Linked DNA regions of Mus musculus. The protein of the gene in region 1 interacts with the protein of each later gene in a pairwise test. Links are inferred from orthologs where the notes say so. Each region holds a gene or a part of one and is shown on either strand. Other genes may lie near its edges.

Region 1 (4,018 bases):
TCAGAGGGTGAGCTGCAATGTTGCTGAGTCTGGTTTCCAACTCCTGGGGTTCAGCAGCACCCCTTCCTCAGCCTCCGCAGATGGCTGTGTCTCACTAGAAGCATAAGCAATGGTCTGTTCTGGGGACACCTGTATGAATGTCATGGAACACCTATGCTAACACCATCAGGATGCAGAATGATGCACCAGTCTTACACACTTTCTGGGACTCCAGTGTAAGAAGCCCTCACGGAATTCCACAACCCTGCATGCACTCCTCTCTATGTAAGACTCCCACTGTCCTGAACTGTATGGCTGACCCCCATGGTCTCTATTCACCCACCATAACAATTCCTCGAAGGTGGGGACAGCTGAAACAAGGAAACCCCTTCCATCTCGACAGCCACCAGCCTACTCCACAGGCAGTGCCACACACTTGGCTAATGCCCTTATCTTGAACGTGGCTTTCAACCCTTGCTAGAGGCTGTCTGTAAAGAACAAGATATAAACTACCCAAGGAAAGGATTCACTGTCTTTCCCAATCTAGTTTCAAGTTCCTCTGTCCCACCTTATCAGCCTCTTAAAATTCTTTCAGCTTCAATTTAATGCAGTGCTATCAATATGGATTTAAATCTCTTCTTCCCCCCAGTTTGAGCCAATCTCCTGCCTCCTCCCTACACACATCTACAGTGCCCGGTACTCGCCCTTGAACCTTTATTAGATTTAGTCTAAGCCACTCTCCCCATTCAAACCTGGGGACTATTTATCTTCACCCTCACAACCATCTTCCAACTGGTTTCGAGTCCTTGTCTGCCAGGCGTGAAGAGACAGGAATGTACAAAAGTCCCGATCCAGAAGCAGACACCCTCCAGTAAACGACCTTGAACGCGTGCCCTCAGGGCAGCTCTCCTAACTGTGGGTGCCCTTAGGCATGAGGTGTCTCATCTCTGCAACACTCTGCCGCCAGAACCCAAACCAGCAAGCTCTGCCCTGGGGGAGGCGGGCTATGTTGTCATATGATTCTCTAATCACATGATCCCTAGAAATGGGGTGTGGGGAGAAAGAGGAAAGGGAGGAGGAATGTGAACTGAGTAGAAAAGAAACACAGCATTCCAGGAGAGTCCCGCCTCTACGTAGACAAGTAACCAATGGAAGCCCTGGATCTCCGAGCAATGGCTAATGGAAATTGAGGTGGGCGGGCCATCGTGCGGCCAAGCCCTAGTCCTGGAGCTGACCGCCAGATGCCTCCCAGGGAGCCCGGACCCCGACGCAGGTAGGAGGACCCTCTGCAGACAATCTCCCCGGCTACTGTCCAGAGGTCCAGAGGCCTGACCAGGCTGCCTGTGCAATTGAGGGTCCTCTGGAGTCTCAGCTCAGAGACAAGAGAAGACCTGCCTCTTGAAACTCCCCTAGGGGTTTCTGATGCACTAACGAGGTTGTTTTTTTCTTTTCTTTTTTGGAGGGGTGGGGGCAGTTGTTGTAGAGACACCTCCCCGCACCCCCTCCCCCCCAATAAGAGGCTTCTCTTGCCCAGCATGTCGGAAAGCTGCAGGCCTTTCTCCAGGACAGGAACCACCCCACTCTTGGGCCAGCTCCTCTCTTGTCCGTACTTCCCACCTCTGTCTCCAGGTCCGGCTCTTTCTCTTTCGGACGCTGCAAGTGTTCTCTGCGGCGGCGTGCATTGGGTGGGGATCTCCGGCCCTTGGCCCCCAGAGCTCAAAGGGGTTGCGAGCAGGACCAGGGCGTGATGGCTGAGTCCCTGGGTTGTGTCAGCTTTATTTCCTTTCTTGGGGGGCGAGAGAGCTAATTTCCGCCTCTCCCCGCCACTTTTCCCCCGCTGCCTCTCATCTGGATTGGCTCACCTTTTAGGAAATTCATTTCCCCTCGACACTCAGAGTTGGGGGGTGCCACCTAGTGGAAGATGTCGGAGCTAGGGCTTTGAAAGGCTCCAGTTCTCCCTAGCTGTGTAGTGTAGAGGTGGCCAGGGGCTCACCACTCCCTAGCCCCGTTGAGAGGAACTGGGTCTTCCCTACCCCTTCCTGGTTAGGAGATGGCCTCTGGGATGTTCTTTGAATTAGGTGAAAGGGCACTTGAAAAGACCTAGAGAAGGAAAGAGAAAGATGGCAGATCCTTCTATGTAGCCCAGGCTGGCCTGGGATTCACCTTATAGCCCAAGTTGGCCTGGCACTTGCAACCCTCCTACCTCAGCCTCCCAAATGCTGGGATCAAAAGCATGCCTGCCATGTGTGGGTGGCATTTCCTGTCTTTCATAGCCACCAGTGTCCAGGCAGAGAAGAATTGAGACACAGGGAGCAATTTCTGACATAGAGTGTCACTTCCAGGACTAAAACCCAAGTCTCTGTACCTACTTTTTAAATATTTTATTATTATTATTATTATTATTATTATTATTTTTTTTTTTTTTTTTTTTTTTTGGTTTTTCGAGACAGGGTTTCTCTGTGTAGCCCTGGCTGTCCTGGAACTCACTCTGTAGACCAGGCTGGCCTCAAAACCAGAAATCTGTCTGCCTCTGTCTCCCAAGTGCTGGGATTAAAGGTGTGCACCACCACCGCCCGGCTCCCACCCTGTTTCTATCCTGCTTGGGTCACCTGCCAGAAAAATGCTCTGTCCTGTCCTGTTTGGACCTCTGGCCTCTGGGATTCAGGGTCCTTCTCTGACAATATTCAGGGAGACCAGTTGGCATATGAACCCAGTCCCATATCCCGTCTTTTTTCCCTGACTTGATCCTTAGGCATGGATTTGAAAAGTGAAAGTAATATTATAATTACTGTTTTGCATAGTTGTTGCAGAGAAATACAGTAAGGAGAGGGAGAAAGACTCCCTAGAGGGTCTTTGAATATTGTTGGGTCATTCTGGGTTGCTGGGTAGGCCAGCTGGGCTGGGGAAAGGCTTATTAGGGAAGTGAGAGGCTCGGTTCCTCCTGCTGAGGCAGTGAGGCACTGTGCTGGGTCTTCCCACTTGCAGCTGAGTTTCGGTTTCTGAGGGGGGAGAGACGGAGGCGGTCCGTTTGAGGTGCCCTGGTGATGTCGGGAAGGGCTCACCATGAAGTTAGCTTTAAGGCTGATCCAGTCTCTGTGTCCCCTTCCCTTGGGTGGGGTGGGGGGACAGTTGTGGGTAGGCGGTGGCTGGCCCATAGGGAAGCCAGACCAGACCCCACTGACCACTGCACTTCTGTTTTTACAACTTTCTCCACTGCTCGGTTTCCCATATGATCATGTGACTGATGACTGTCCCTCTCCATCCCCCAAGGCTTTTGAAAGCTACAGGTGGCAGTTCAGTGCCGGCAGTGGGGCTGGCCATCCTCCTGTGTCTGCTGAGGTCTCCTCTGCCTCCCAGTTAGCCCACAGTCCCATAGATAAAGCCACAAAAGCCACATGCCTTCCTGACTGCCATACCCCGTGCCCCCCCCCCCCACTTACCCAGAGTCTCAGCCGTATGTGAGGCCATGAATCCACACGTGTTCATGCCCACAGTGTGTGCCAGCTGACGCATGTGCGCTTGCTGCACACTGGTAGGACGCTGACACAAGCGACACATCTGCTTGCTTTCCTGTTGGCTTGTTGAGAAGACTCAATGAAGCCAGGGCCTTGGTCAGAGCACAGGGGAGTGCGTGGCCTCAGAGTAGAAGGTGGCACAGAGTTTAAGGTGGCTGCCAAACTTTGCTTGGCATTTGTAGGCAGACCATGTGGGTCCTGATGAGCTGGCTGGCCTTCGCGGCAGGGCTGGTAGCCGGAACACAGTGTCCAGATGGGCAGTTCTGCCCTGTTGCCTGCTGCCTTGACCAGGGAGGAGCCAACTACAGCTGCTGTAACCCTCTTCTGGTGAGTGCCTCCTGCCCCAGTTGGCACCCCGGGCCTTTTGAAGGGCTGGCTACCTTGGATTGACCAGAGCAAGGCTGGCACAGACCCTTTGGTTGATGTCATCTCTTCTTTCCAGGACACATGGCCTAGAATAACGAGCCATCATCTAGATGGCTCCTGCCAGACCCATGGCCACTGTCCTGCTGGCTATTCTTGTC
Region 2 (4,160 bases), on another chromosome or scaffold:
TTGGCTTCCAGCATGTGCACACAGGTGTCTTTCAGAGTATTACAGTGATGAAATGCCCAGATCCAGTGGGCAGCAGGCAATTAGGGCTGGAAATGCTTTGCTCTGTGTTCCAGGTCAAGTAAGAGCCAGTCAAAGTCTAGGTCAAGGGTAGGGTTGCAGTTGCTTATCACTTGTCCTTCTCCTGTGGTAGAGGGAGGTTCCAGTCCGTAGGGGGCCTTTGCCTCAAGGCCCATACCAAGGTGTGCTTCTGAGCAGCCTGGACCCGAACCTGCTCGCTCTCACAGAGGGATCGCTGTACAAATGAGACTTGGTCACTTACTGTTTCACCACTGGATCCTAGGGCTCTTAGTACTGCTGCATGGCACCTATATCACCCTCTTCCTCAACACTCTTCTGAAGAGAGGAACACATGGGAGCACATGGTACACACAGGCTCAGCTGCTTCTATACCACACTCCTTGGCAACTGTTCTGTTTTAGCACACACCGGTCATCTTACTTCAGCAGTTTTATTTTGTGTTCTTTGGACATGTTTTAGACAGGGTCTCAAGTAGCCCAGGCTGGTCTCAAGATCACTATGTATGACCTTCAATTCTGAGATTGTTGTCTCCACCTCCCGAGTGCCGCAATTATAAGCATGCACAACTATGTTCAGTCTCTGCCTTCAGCCATGCAAAACCCGCTAAGCCTCAGCAACAGCAGACCTGGAGAGTGTGGAGCTAGTTACCCGCCTAGCCTGGGAGTGAGGACACTGGGTGGGGAAGAGAGGGAGAGCGTCTAAAATTACTGTTGGACTCTGCACAGGGTATGTGTAAAAGGTGCCCCCCATCCTGCCAGCTTCTTTCAGCCACTGCCAACAGACACTAGACAGTGTATTATGACAGGGCTGATCCTGGCAAAGTGTCAGGTGCTATGTAGGCCTCTTTACAAACATTCTTAAACTGGGAGCGGTAGTATTCCCAACAGTTGGCAGACAAAGCCAAAAGGATCTGAAGTTCCAAACCAGCCTGGGCTATACAGCCAGACCCCATCTCTAACATGATCACATGATCATTATTACTTAATAAGCAAATAGGAGCCGGGCAGTGGTGGCACACGCCTTTAATCCCAGCACTTGGGAGGCAGAGGCAGGAGGATTTCTGAGTTCCAGGCCAGCCTGGTCTACAGAGTGAGTTCCAGGACAGCCAGGGCTATATAGAGAAACCCTGTCTCGAAACAAAACAAAACAAAACAAAACAAAGAAGCAAATAGGGGCCTAGTATGTGGGTGAATGCCTGTAGTCCCAGCACTCAGGAGATGGAGACGTCCAAGTTCAGAGAGATCCTGCCTCAGTATATAAGGTGGGAAGTGACTGAGGAAGATGCCTAATGTCAACAGAGGGTCTCTCTACATGCAATGTGTGCACATATATACACACGCATGCCACGCACTCGCACACACAAAGACTTTTTAAAAAGGCTTGTAAGGACTAGAGAGATCCCTCAGCAGTTAGAGGCTGCTTTCCAGAGGACTGGGATTCGGTTCCCAGCACTCAAACATCAGCTTACAACCATCTGAAACTACAGTTCCAGAGGACCCTCAGGCAGTAGATTCACATGGTACAGATAAATATGCAGGAAAAACACACATAAAATAAGAATAAAAGTACTTTAAAAACTATATAGAAGCCTAGTGGTTGTGGCACACGCTTTTAATCCCAGAATTCAGGAGGCAGAGGCAGACGGAACTCTGAGTTCAAAACCAGCCTGGTCTACAGTGAGTTCCAGGACAGCCAGGGCTATACAGAAAAACCCTGTCTCAATCACAACAACAAAAAAAAATAAATAAAAAAAAATAAAAATAAAATAAAGAAATAATTGCTTCTGTGTTCTGAGTTTCCCGGTGAATTGCTTCTCCATGACCCTGGCCATTTCTCTATTCAGAAACATCTTTGTTTCTTACACTAATTTATGATAGCTGACATATAGTTACAGACAGTTAAGTTTCCAGTCTTTTGCTTTCCGCCATGTTTTTTACTTTCGCCATGTCTACATGGCTATCTAGAGTAAGTAGAGGTTTCTTCACATCTCCCTCGAAAAGGTCCAGCAACAGCCTCCATACTTGTCTCTGTCCTCTACAGTACCCTTCACACTCTCAGGTCCAGACTGACCTGCCAAAGATAACTCAATTCACAAGTACTGGAACATTTTTAGGTGCTCTTGGACTCATTCTTATGCCCTCTATAGCCCACCCTCGTGCTCCAGACACGTTGGCTTTTCTCTTCCTCCGTCCTATCCCCAAGGGCTGGGTGAAGGCAAGCTTGCTGTCAAGCTGATGACTCTAACGCTATAAGGTTACTCTCTCCAAGCCTCTCTATACTTCCCTTCCTTCTGCGCCCCCCTCCCCGCGCCGCCCCACCCCGTAACTGAGGCTGTCTAAAGTCTCGTTGATAACGCAGTTTGGTACTCAGGAGAGAAACACGAGAGAGTTGCCCCAAGGATCTGCGCATACATCCACACCCAGCCCGCACCTGGGCCTCGGCGCTGCGGCTCTCCTCCCACTCGCGGCAGTTAGTCAGGTCGCGGAGCCACTGCCTGCAATCCGGCCGCTTGCCGTGGACGTAGTAGTGGTGTAGGACGTGCCCGACGCTGCGGCAGAGCTCCCACTCGGCGCGGTAGACCTCGCACGGCCGGGGAGGCTGCGGGGAGAGACAGCGGAGAGCGCGGGCAGCCCCCAGGGCCTGATCCCACCCAGCCCAGGAGCCCAGGAGCCAAGCACACTCACCTGCCAGCTCCCTGCGACCGCCATGTCCAGGCCCCGTGTGACTGACAGGGACATGAACCAATGAGCTCCAAGCAAACGCGCACTAAACAGGACGTCTGCACTGAGTGGCTGATAGTCAGAGGCCACACTACCTGGTGTCTAGCCGATGGCTTGGCTTCAAAGTCACATAAGGTATTAATTAGCATTCGGAAAAAACAGGAGTTCTGGTCAGTTCTCCCAGTTTTTTATTTTTCAAATCCGTATGTGGTTCAGTTTTTGAAGTACAGACTCTTGAACTCTTGAGTAACCCACCTGGCGGACTGAAATTGCAGGTATGTAGCCTGAGCATACACAGAGTGTAGGTGAGCTTGATTTGGTGTATGGAGAGGAGGAAGGCAGTGCAGGATGACTAAGGGTGAAAGAAGTTCTCCTAGAAGTGACAGGCTCAGGGTTGCACACCTTTAATCCCAGCATTCAGGAAACAAGAGCAGGGACATCTCAGTGAGTCAGTTCTAGACCAGAAAGGAATATATATATATATATATATATATATATATATATATATTAGTGAGACCCTGTCTCAAAAAGGAAACAAACCCAACAACAAAAACAATTTAAAAAAAAAAAAAAAAACCTAACTGGAGATCATAAGGTGAGATGACTCAGCTGTAGAGAAACTTGTGAACAGAACCAAGGACCCGAGTTTGATCCCTCCTAGTTTGATCCTTCTAGGCGACAGAAGGGACTCCTGAGCACTGTACTCTTATCTACACATGCAGTCACATTTTTATTAGTGCACTTGTGTGTATAACTATGTATGTGCAACACATATACTTAGATCATCTGGAACTGGAGTTACAGTTATAATTACAGGCTATGAGCCACCATGTGAGTGCTGGGAAGCAAACCTGGATCCTCTGCACGAACAAGTGCTTAACTGAGCTCTTTCCAGCCTGACCAAGTTAGCTAACAGAATCCTACAAATGAAAGCTGTCTTACTGCTAGGGAAACTGAGACAGCCCCATAGGACAGGTCGGGCAGGTTACCACAGCATTTATGCCTTCCAGAGCCACATTTGGCCAGTAATGATGTATGTGCCAGAGTTAGGAGCCAATTAAGTTTATGGATATTTCTAAGAGCAAATGGACACACTCTGGAACTACAAACATAGAGGGAAAGTGCACCCTCCATGAGGACCTTGCTAGGCCTGACCAGCTCCACTCCAAGCATCAGGGAGTGACATCCATCCCTACAGCCTCCACAAGTCTCGGAAATAGTCTCTAACGACAGGATGAAGTAGGGTGCTGCTGCAAGGGGGCCTTCCTATGACTTCTGGCTAGTGGCCCATACCACCAATCTACAACATACCATATCAAACTAGAGGCGAGTTTTAATCAGTTTATTTAATTCTTCAATAAG
Region 3 (4,034 bases), about 80 Mb from region 1:
GGGGTCACTTTTTCCAAGAGAATAAACTCATGTTAAATAAGTAGGATCTAGAAAAGAAACCCAGGGCTCAGCTGGAGTCCCCCATCATGCCAGAAGAGTTGGGACAAATCACTGGTCTTGAGGTTTCTCTATGGAGAAAAAAAAAAAACCCTACTTCTCAGGGAAGCTAGACATAAGAAAAATTTGGCTATGTTAGGGCCTAGTGAGTGTCCAGATTCCTCATGAAATGTTGGACCAGGGAAAGGTTTTATTTTTTATATTTTTAAAAAAAGCAACTGAGGGAAATAAATCCGGGGGCAGGGGGAGGGATAAACCTGCCCTCCCTAGCAAGTGGGACACAAGAGGAGCCAGGTTGCAGGCACCACAAGCTCAAAAGTTGTAGGCTGCACTTTCTACAGAGCAAGGCAACAGGCGGCGAGCTAATCACCTTCCTGGGTCTGTTTAGGGACTGTGTGGGCTCAAACTGTAGAGGATGGAATCCCCCAATATTTACAGAGGTTTGAGGGTAGGGGCAGAGGGCCACTGCTCACCAGGGTAGCCCACGGAGGGGTGCAGGAGGTCCATGGCAGGGCCAGCTAGGCCCAGCCCGTTCATGCCGTATGGGGGTTGTTTGAGGTAAGACATCATGCTAACAGCCGGGTGGAGGTGCCCCGACGGATCCAGGGGGCCTGAGGCCAGGAGCAGTTCAGGGCTCCCACTGCGAAGTCCTTCAAGCTGTTGCTTCTGGGGGCCTGGCCTAGGGAGACAGCAGACACATGGAAACCTTCACCCGCAGTCAGTTTGGCTTTCAGCTCCTCTAATCCTTGAATGGGGAGGGGGCGCGTGCTAGGAACTGCACAGCAGGCAATCCGAGAAACGTCTTCTCCTTTAGCTCGGCAGCTACACAGCTTCTCAGGAAAGTAAACTTTTCCCACATCGTTCCTTCCTCTTTTAGGGCTTGACAAGGGCCAAAGACACTCCTCGAGTGTCAACAGGAAGGAAAAGTTAAAGCGTGATCAGGCTGAGGAGGTGAGAGCCGGGACCGCGGAGGGTGCAAAATCCCAAGTGAAGTCAATTTTTTTTTTAGTGTGGCGGAAGCAATTTGCTCAAGCAAATGTTCATTTGGCGCCGGGAGGGCAGGCCGCACAGAGATACCGGGTTATTTCGTTTAGTTTGAAATATTTTTGAAAGAGGGACAAAATGGCAAGTAATACAGAGGCCCAAGGTGAATACACCTTGGGTCGCCAAGGCTCACTGGCCACATCATTTCTTCAAAGATCTCCAGCGCTGCCTCCTACCCCAGAGCCTGCAATCACCTTTCTAGTTGACCTCTCTGGGCCCCTAGCACTAAGAGATAGCTGAACAGGAATCCCACCGCACCTCCAGGGTAGATGCGGCCCAGGCCAGGCTAAGGCGGCAAGAAGACGCCAAAGGCACCACAGTAGAAGTGGCAGTTTCAGGATGCCGCCCAAGGTCAGGGGTACCTCCGAGGCGGTCACCCCTCTTCCTTTGCTCGCACAGGCGGGCCTTCTTTCTACCAAGTCTGCTAAGCACACCGAGTCCCACCAGAATTTGATGGCCAACCCAGCGCCCCAAACATTCTAGGGATTTTGGAAGGCCTAGCGTGCCAGGTCGCGTCGCATCGGCCGTCCTATATGAACCCGATGGAGAGCAAGGAACTAGGCCTCAGGTTGTAAAGCTCACGCACAGCCGACCGGGAGGGCGAGGCTCGGCGCAGACACTCTGAGCCCACGCAGCTCTGCTCCAGCAAAAGAAGGGGTTCTGGGAGTATGACTGGGACCGGCGGGGGGCTTGAAGCTACATCCCAGGACCCAAGGGTAGGAGATTCCGGGGAGAAAGGGAGGTAAAACTAAAGCAGCTCCCCCATCCCAACTCCTTTCCCCGCCTCAGCCCTGGGGGACCCTCAGCCTAGACTAAGGGGGTGGGGGGAGGTCAGCGAGCACATAAGGCGGAAAGGAAGGATTCAAAGAGCTTGGGCCGAAGGGCCACAGGCCTGCAGCCTCCGCGGCTAAGCCCGGCTGCGGTGTGAGTTTTCGAGTACTTTCGTCTAACTTAGCAGCCCAGTTCCGCAGCTTCGGAGGAGGCGGGGGAGGGGGCGGCCGGCTCCCGAGCGGCCTGGGGTCCCCAGGGCAGCCAAGGGGCGCCCGGCCTCTCACTCCAACCCCGCCCACCTGCCCCGGACAGAGGTAGCGGGGGTCGATTAGAGGACGGGGAGACGAGAGGGGCCACCATCGTCCCGGGGTGGCGCGCGGCCCGGCGACTCCCTCCTTACCTGCCCTCCGCAGTCGCGGCTTTTCACCATCTACCTCTCGCCTTCACCGAGACTCGCCGGCAGCCAACCTGCAAAACGGAGGCGCACAGGTATTACCCCGGAGACGGCGGGACCCTAGGCTTTCCTCTTCCCTCAACTTCCCTCTTCCCGTCTCCTGCATTTTTTCTAGGAGCTCTGTGCGTGTACCTCCAGGTTTCACTTTATTGCTCAAACACTTTGTTGCAAAGTCCCACATGCTTTTCCTCTCAAGACCTGGCCTCGCCCGGGACCCGGGGGGTGGGGTGGGTGAGTAGGGGGTGTTCGAGGGACAGAGTTAGGAGGTGGCTTGCGCTGGCAGCTGCACTCTCTCGGAGCAAGCCGGAGGCGGTAGGGACTGGAGAAATCCTGCATAGTCACTTGGCAAACTAAATAAATCAAGCAATTTACCTTGTCGGAGTGGCTTGTCTTGCTCGGTTGTTTAGGTGATTGGAAATGTAGCCTGATGAAGATTGATCACCTTTCTACTGCCCTCCCCGGGTATGTGAACGCGAGGCGAGTGCGTAACGGGGCTCGGCCTCCAATAGGGGGCCTAGAGCGGACTGAGTGACAGGGAGCTGGGCAATGGCGAGCCCGGGTTACCTCCGCGCGCCCCCGCCCTCCCTCGCCCCCACCTCCTCCCTCCCCGCGCGCCGGCCCCGCCCCGGTCGCGCGCTAACTCTGGGTCTAGGTTGGCAAATTCCGCTCAGAACGAGTTGAGGAGGGCGAAGGCTGCGCCGGAGTTGCTGGCACAGAGGGGGCCCCGGGTCCCAAGGCTCGCCCGAGGGCCCCCGCCCTCCCCTTGCCCGGGCCGCGCTCCGGAGGAGTGGCGTCAAGCTGCTGGATAACCGGTTCCTGCTCGCGCGCGCGCGCCGCCAGGCTCTGCCGCACTGTGGGAGCCAGGCTTCCCAGGCCGAGGACTCGGGGCGTGCTGGCCCCTGGCACTCCTTGATGCTCCCTGGGGCCCCAGCAACTCCTCCTCCGCTCCCCCACAACCAGCGGTCGCCGCCGGCGCGGGCTGCTGAGCGGAGCCGGGAGTGGGGGTGCAGCTCTCGGCGCGCAGGGCGCCCTGCGGCGACCCGGGACTCTTGCGCCCAGAAAGAGCACCGGCAGGGGAGGCGCCGCCAATTCCCAGCTGCACAGCGTTTCCAGGGGCTCCCAGGCAGTCTCACCAAAGGTGTTCGCAAGTCCTAAAAGCTTCTTCGGAACCGTTGGAACTCAAATCTCCTTACATTCTCTCTCTCTCTCTCTCTCTCTCTCTCTCTCTCTCTCTCTCTCTCTCTCTCTCTCTCATGGATTTGATAGAAAACTTTCTTTTTCACAATCTGTCAGTCTTTCCAGATCTCCACCTACAACGAACAGTCTGGTGGAAAATGTGGCTACACACCCCGATCCCTCTCACTTCATTTTCTACACCTTACTGGAGGAGCCTCCTCGAAACAATTTCCCCGGATTGTTCTTACTGGCAGACCCCAGTTTCCAGCCGAATAAACTTGCTGAGATCGTCTTCTTGTGTGTACTTTTCAAAGCGAGAGGGAAGAGTATTTTCGGCCCAACCCCGAACAAGGCAATATTTTTACATGGCATCTCCTACTGAATACTAGGGACCACACTTACACTCTTTCCTAGTTCTTTTTCCTCATCTTCTGCCGTTCTCACCCCAACAGGCGGGCGAAAAGTTTGAACCACAGTATGTGCGTGGGTGAGTTCGGCAGCCGCCGAGAGCAAGGTAGAGCGGAGCACCGCG
Region 4 (4,066 bases), on another chromosome or scaffold:
GCGACCTTCCCCCCACCCATTCTAACACTCCCACACCGTTCCCATCCCCATTGAACTTGCTAAGATGACACACTGGGGAACACTGGCAGGGACTAGGGACTCTTGATCCTGTAGCCCAGCAGCAGAGGCTAACAGCTGGGCAGGGTGGATCTTTCAGGTATGGCCTGGACCTGGAAGAGGGGGACCTGCTAGACTCCATGGGACATTCGTGCAAAGTTCATGATCCCTGACCTCCACTCCAGGCTCTGTGCATGGCCCATGAAAACCCTTGGCAGGTGGGGACTGTGGTCAACAGTCTGAACTCCACAAGGGCTGGCTCCGTGGTGCTGAGGCTGAGGGCCTAGCTGTGGAGAACTCAGAGCCGGGTCCTTGCTCTTTCCCAGTTTATGGCCCTAGGCAAGGTCGCGTAGTCACTTGTAAAATGGGGCTGACCATAGTATTTGGATGCATTAGTTTCTGTGCCTACAGGGTTTTAGAGTAGAGCCCAGTGAGCCATAAAACCGTCCAAGTGACAGGCGAGCAGGTAACCTCTGCCCAGTGGGTCATCAGCTGGGTCTCTAGAAGGATGGCTGACCTCTGTCCACGTATCCACCAGATCTCTCGCTTCTAAGTTTGCTGGAGTGCACGTTGAGACCTCTCAGGACAGAGAAGTTAAGACAATGCAGCTTGATTTGGGGGTGTCACTCAGGAAGCCCAAGATGCAGGATGAAGAATGGAGACTGTCCCAGCCAGCGTGACCACAAACTGCCCTGGCAGAGGGGAGTACGGGAGGAGCACGGGACTTGGAGACCCCAGGCCACAGACTCAGTGTGACTTTGGCAGGCATCACTGCTGTCTGGCCTCTATACTGTTCTGGGTGGCTCCTGTGCTCACGGGCCAGTGCACTCCGGCATGGGTTGGCCAAGGGGTGGAGAAGGGACCTGGTCACTAAGGAAAAAATATCCAGATACCTCACACCCACAACTGCCTTCATGGAAGGCCATCCATGAGTCGTTGGGGCTTCTGGGGACAGCTCAGACTCTGAGAGTAGACCTAAAAGACCCTTCAGGGCTTTCCACTCTGAGAACTGTCCCATTGGCCAGATGCCAGGCTGGGTTCCTCAGGTCTCAACAGACCAGGAGCCATACTGGATTTTCCCAGCTGCTTCTAACGTGGTGCCTGACACTCAGGAAGTACCTCGTCACCCCCAATCAACTTGAACCAACTTCATACAGCCTGACCATGCTCCTCCTGTCCCTCCTGCTGTCACCTTCCGGGGACCCCCTGAGTCACTTCCCTCAACACTCCCCCGGGAACCTGAGGAAGCCCTCAAAGTCCAGAGAATGGGAGAGGGCTGCTTCCAACATTCCAACACCCCCTCCTGGGGTGTCCCCAGGGGGCCTGCCAGCCCACTCTAAGGCCATTTTACCTTTCTCTGTCTGGGTAAATTACCAGTGACCAATACAATGTCAGTCTTGCAAGACCTTGGGGCTGAGGTGAGTAGACTTGACCTCTGTACACTCTCACTCCTGGCCCCGCCCCCTGCTCCCACAGTGGGTAAGACTCCCAAGTGGGACAATGGCCCAACCTCTTTTTTTTTTTTTTTTTTTTTTTTGGTTTTTTGAGACAGGGTTTCTCTGTATAGCCCTGGCTGTCTTGGAACTCACTTTGTAGACCAGGCTGACCTCGAACTTAGAAATCCACCTGCCACTGCCTCCCAAGTGCTGGGATTAAAGGCGTGCACCACCACTCCCGGCATGACCCAACCTCTTTTGAGGTGTTTGCTTTTTTTTTGACACAGGCTCTCATGTAGCCCAGGTTGGCCTCAAATTCTCTATGCTGTGGATGCTGGCCTTGAGCTCTTGATCTTCCACTTTCTGAGTGCAGGCATGTCCCCATACTCCGCAACCTCTCCTAAAATATTACTCCAAATACAAATATTCCCTCCCCACAGCATCTATGAAAGATCCTATGCACACACACACACACCCATTTACAGACAGTGCTCTCCCCAAACCCCACAGATGAGGGACAGTCACTCCAGTTCTCTGGAATCACCTTGGAATGGCCAAGGTGCCAGGTGAGAGACAAAGGCCCAGGGGTTACTGGGAGCATCAGCTGTCCTCTGTCCTCTCCTGTCCCCTGAGCAGGGGTGGGGGTGGGGATGGAGTTAGGGATGAGGGTGGGGAAGAGGGAGCCTTGATAACCTGTTCATCCCTACTGACCCCTTCCTGCGTGGGGTGGGGGTAGGGTTCTGGGGCTAAAGACACAGGCACCCTGAGAGGAGAAATGGGATCCTGGCTTAAAAAGGCCTGCCGGCATCTTGAGCGGGAGCGAGGTCTTCCTGGAGCTCAGTGGCCCATAAGAGGACCAGAAAAAATAGGAAGGCTCCCTCCCCTCTCAGGCACACTGCAGGAGGCGTGTAGCTGCGGGGAAGAAAGCATGGCACCGGACCTTGCTTCATGCCACCTGCCGGGTGCCGAGTGGGGCGTGGGGTGCGGAGACCTCCGTCCCCTCTGCGCGCTGCTCGCCCCCCTCCCGAGCTCTGTCCCCGTGGGGCGCACCGTGTCCTCTGGGGCGCGGCTGATCCATGAAGGGCGGACACCCACCCTGGCTTCCCTGAGCGGAGCGCTGGTGCCCCCCCCCCCGCCCCCCGCTTCTCGCTGCGTCCCGGGCCGCCCTGTCCTCACCTCGCGACACACAGGATCCCATCACGGGGCGGCGGGGCTGGGCCACTGCGCCTGGGGTGCGGTGGGCGGCCGCGCGCTCATGTCTCCGTGGGCCGGGGCTGCGCGGCTCGCCCTCCTCTCGCTCCTAGTCCCCGCTGCCGCGTCCGGATCGCCTCGCGCCGCGCCCGCAGCTGCCAAGGCCGGGCGACACCGCGGCGGGCGGGGACCCGGGGAGCGCGGAGGGGGCGGGGCTGGGGTGCGCCCCGCCCCCTCTGTGCCAGTGTACCTGTTGTCGCTAACCAAAGTAAGGCAAACCAAAGTAACAGGACTCGGCCCTGTAAGGAAGACTTCTAGTTTCAAATCTGAGTAGCGCCTGCTTTCTGGAGCTCAAGGTCAGGGGAAAGGGCTGGGAAGGGGAATTCTGCAAAGATGAGCCTCATCCCACTGTGCACAATGAGCAAGATCGAGCTTTGTTTTGTTTTATTTTATTTTGTTTTATTTTATTTTATTGGCTTTTCGAGACAGGATTTCTCTGAATAGCCCTGGCTGTCCTGGAACTCAGTTTGTAGACCAGGCTGGCCTCGAGCTCAGAAGTATGCGTGCCTCTGCCTCCCAAGTGCTGGGATTAAAGGCGTGCACCACCACTGTCTGGCCCTGAGCTTTATTTTTAGTGTGTGTGTGAGAGAGAGAGAGAGGGATCAAAGTACACTTGGGGTGGCGGGTGGGGGGGGACGGGACTCTATTCTTTCTTTCCACTATGTGGGTCTCAGGGATCAAACTTGGTAACCAGACTTCCTGGTAAGTACCTTTAACCTGCCGAGCCATCTCGCCAGCCTCCAGGTCAGGGGTTTTTGATAGTCACCTGCTTATGGGAGGATGCTGGTCCAGGGAGGGAGTTCTGAGGGAGGACCAAGACACTGCATTAGTGGCCTCCTGGCTAGATAAGCGGTCTCATGCAAGAAGGTAGGCTACCTCCCAGGGCTCCTCTGGAGCAAGGAAGTATAGGCAAACCCTACCTAGGAACTTCTGTCATGGAATAGTGGAGGCTAATTGCTGGCACTTGTATGGCTGTTAGCGTGTGTGTGTGTGTGTGTGTGTGTGTGTGTGTGTGTGTGTGTGTGTGTTCCTCTTCTCACACATATGCACTGTGTGCATTCACATGCACTCATTTAGGATCCTGGAGAGAGTGGTCAGATGTGCTGTGACAAACCTTGCCAGGCCTGAAGCACCCTGTATCTGAGGTAAATGTCACCTCACCCCATCCTTGGACATTCCTGTTTCCAGACAGAGGAGTCAATGGGTCTGTTTACCAGCCCTGTATCACTAGAGACAGCCCTGGGGGATGAATATGGCTTAGAGCAAGGGTTTGAAGACCCTGTGCAGAGCAGAAGCCAGGCCTGCTGGGGCTGCCCAGGGCT

The links.
Region 2: the proteins of Grn (region 1) and 2510002D24Rik interact in binary tests that used the Homo sapiens proteins (3 or more experiments, as listed by UniProt). The link is inferred for Mus musculus from reciprocal best matches to the Homo sapiens genes GRN and C22orf39.
Region 3: the proteins of Grn (region 1) and Otx1 interact in binary tests that used the Homo sapiens proteins (3 or more experiments, as listed by UniProt). The two-hybrid records come from large-scale screens. The link is inferred for Mus musculus from reciprocal best matches to the Homo sapiens genes GRN and OTX1.
Region 4: the proteins of Grn (region 1) and Fam131c interact in binary tests that used the Homo sapiens proteins (3 or more experiments, as listed by UniProt). The link is inferred for Mus musculus from reciprocal best matches to the Homo sapiens genes GRN and FAM131C.

The regions. Positions count from the first base shown.
Region 1 is NC_000077.6:102,429,289-102,433,306, forward strand, and holds the start of Grn (progranulin precursor), read left to right. Parts: upstream 1-1,218; 5' UTR 1,219-1,252; intron 1,253-3,676; 5' UTR 3,677-3,683; coding exon 3,684-3,821; intron 3,822-3,936; coding exon 3,937-4,018. UniProt on the Homo sapiens protein: Secreted protein that acts as a key regulator of lysosomal function and as a growth factor involved in inflammation, wound healing and cell proliferation. Regulates protein trafficking to lysosomes, and also the activity of lysosomal enzymes.
Region 2 is NC_000082.6:18,835,222-18,839,381, reverse strand, and holds the start of 2510002D24Rik (UPF0545 protein C22orf39 homolog), read right to left. Parts: upstream 2,803-4,160; 5' UTR 2,787-2,802; coding exon 2,763-2,786; intron 2,677-2,762; coding exon 2,509-2,676; intron 293-2,508; coding exon 167-292; 3' UTR 1-166. UniProt on the Homo sapiens protein: Negatively regulates long-term potentiation and modulates adult synaptic plasticity. Stabilizes the interaction of RTN4 isoform A/Nogo-A with its receptors, inhibiting clustering of postsynaptic AMPA receptors at synaptic sites.
Region 3 is NC_000077.6:21,998,850-22,002,883, forward strand, and holds the start of Otx1 (homeobox protein OTX1), read right to left. Parts: upstream 2,803-4,034; 5' UTR 2,699-2,802; intron 2,341-2,698; 5' UTR 2,273-2,340; intron 1,736-2,272; exon of another isoform or gene 1,585-1,735; intron 1,009-1,584; exon of another isoform or gene 737-1,008; 5' UTR 628-736; coding exon 531-627; intron 1-530. UniProt on the Homo sapiens protein: Probably plays a role in the development of the brain and the sense organs. Can bind to the BCD target sequence (BTS): 5'-TCTAATCCC-3'.
Region 4 is NC_000070.6:141,366,928-141,370,993, reverse strand, and holds the start of Fam131c (protein FAM131C), read right to left. Parts: upstream 2,803-4,066; 5' UTR 2,692-2,802; coding exon 2,670-2,691; intron 1-2,669.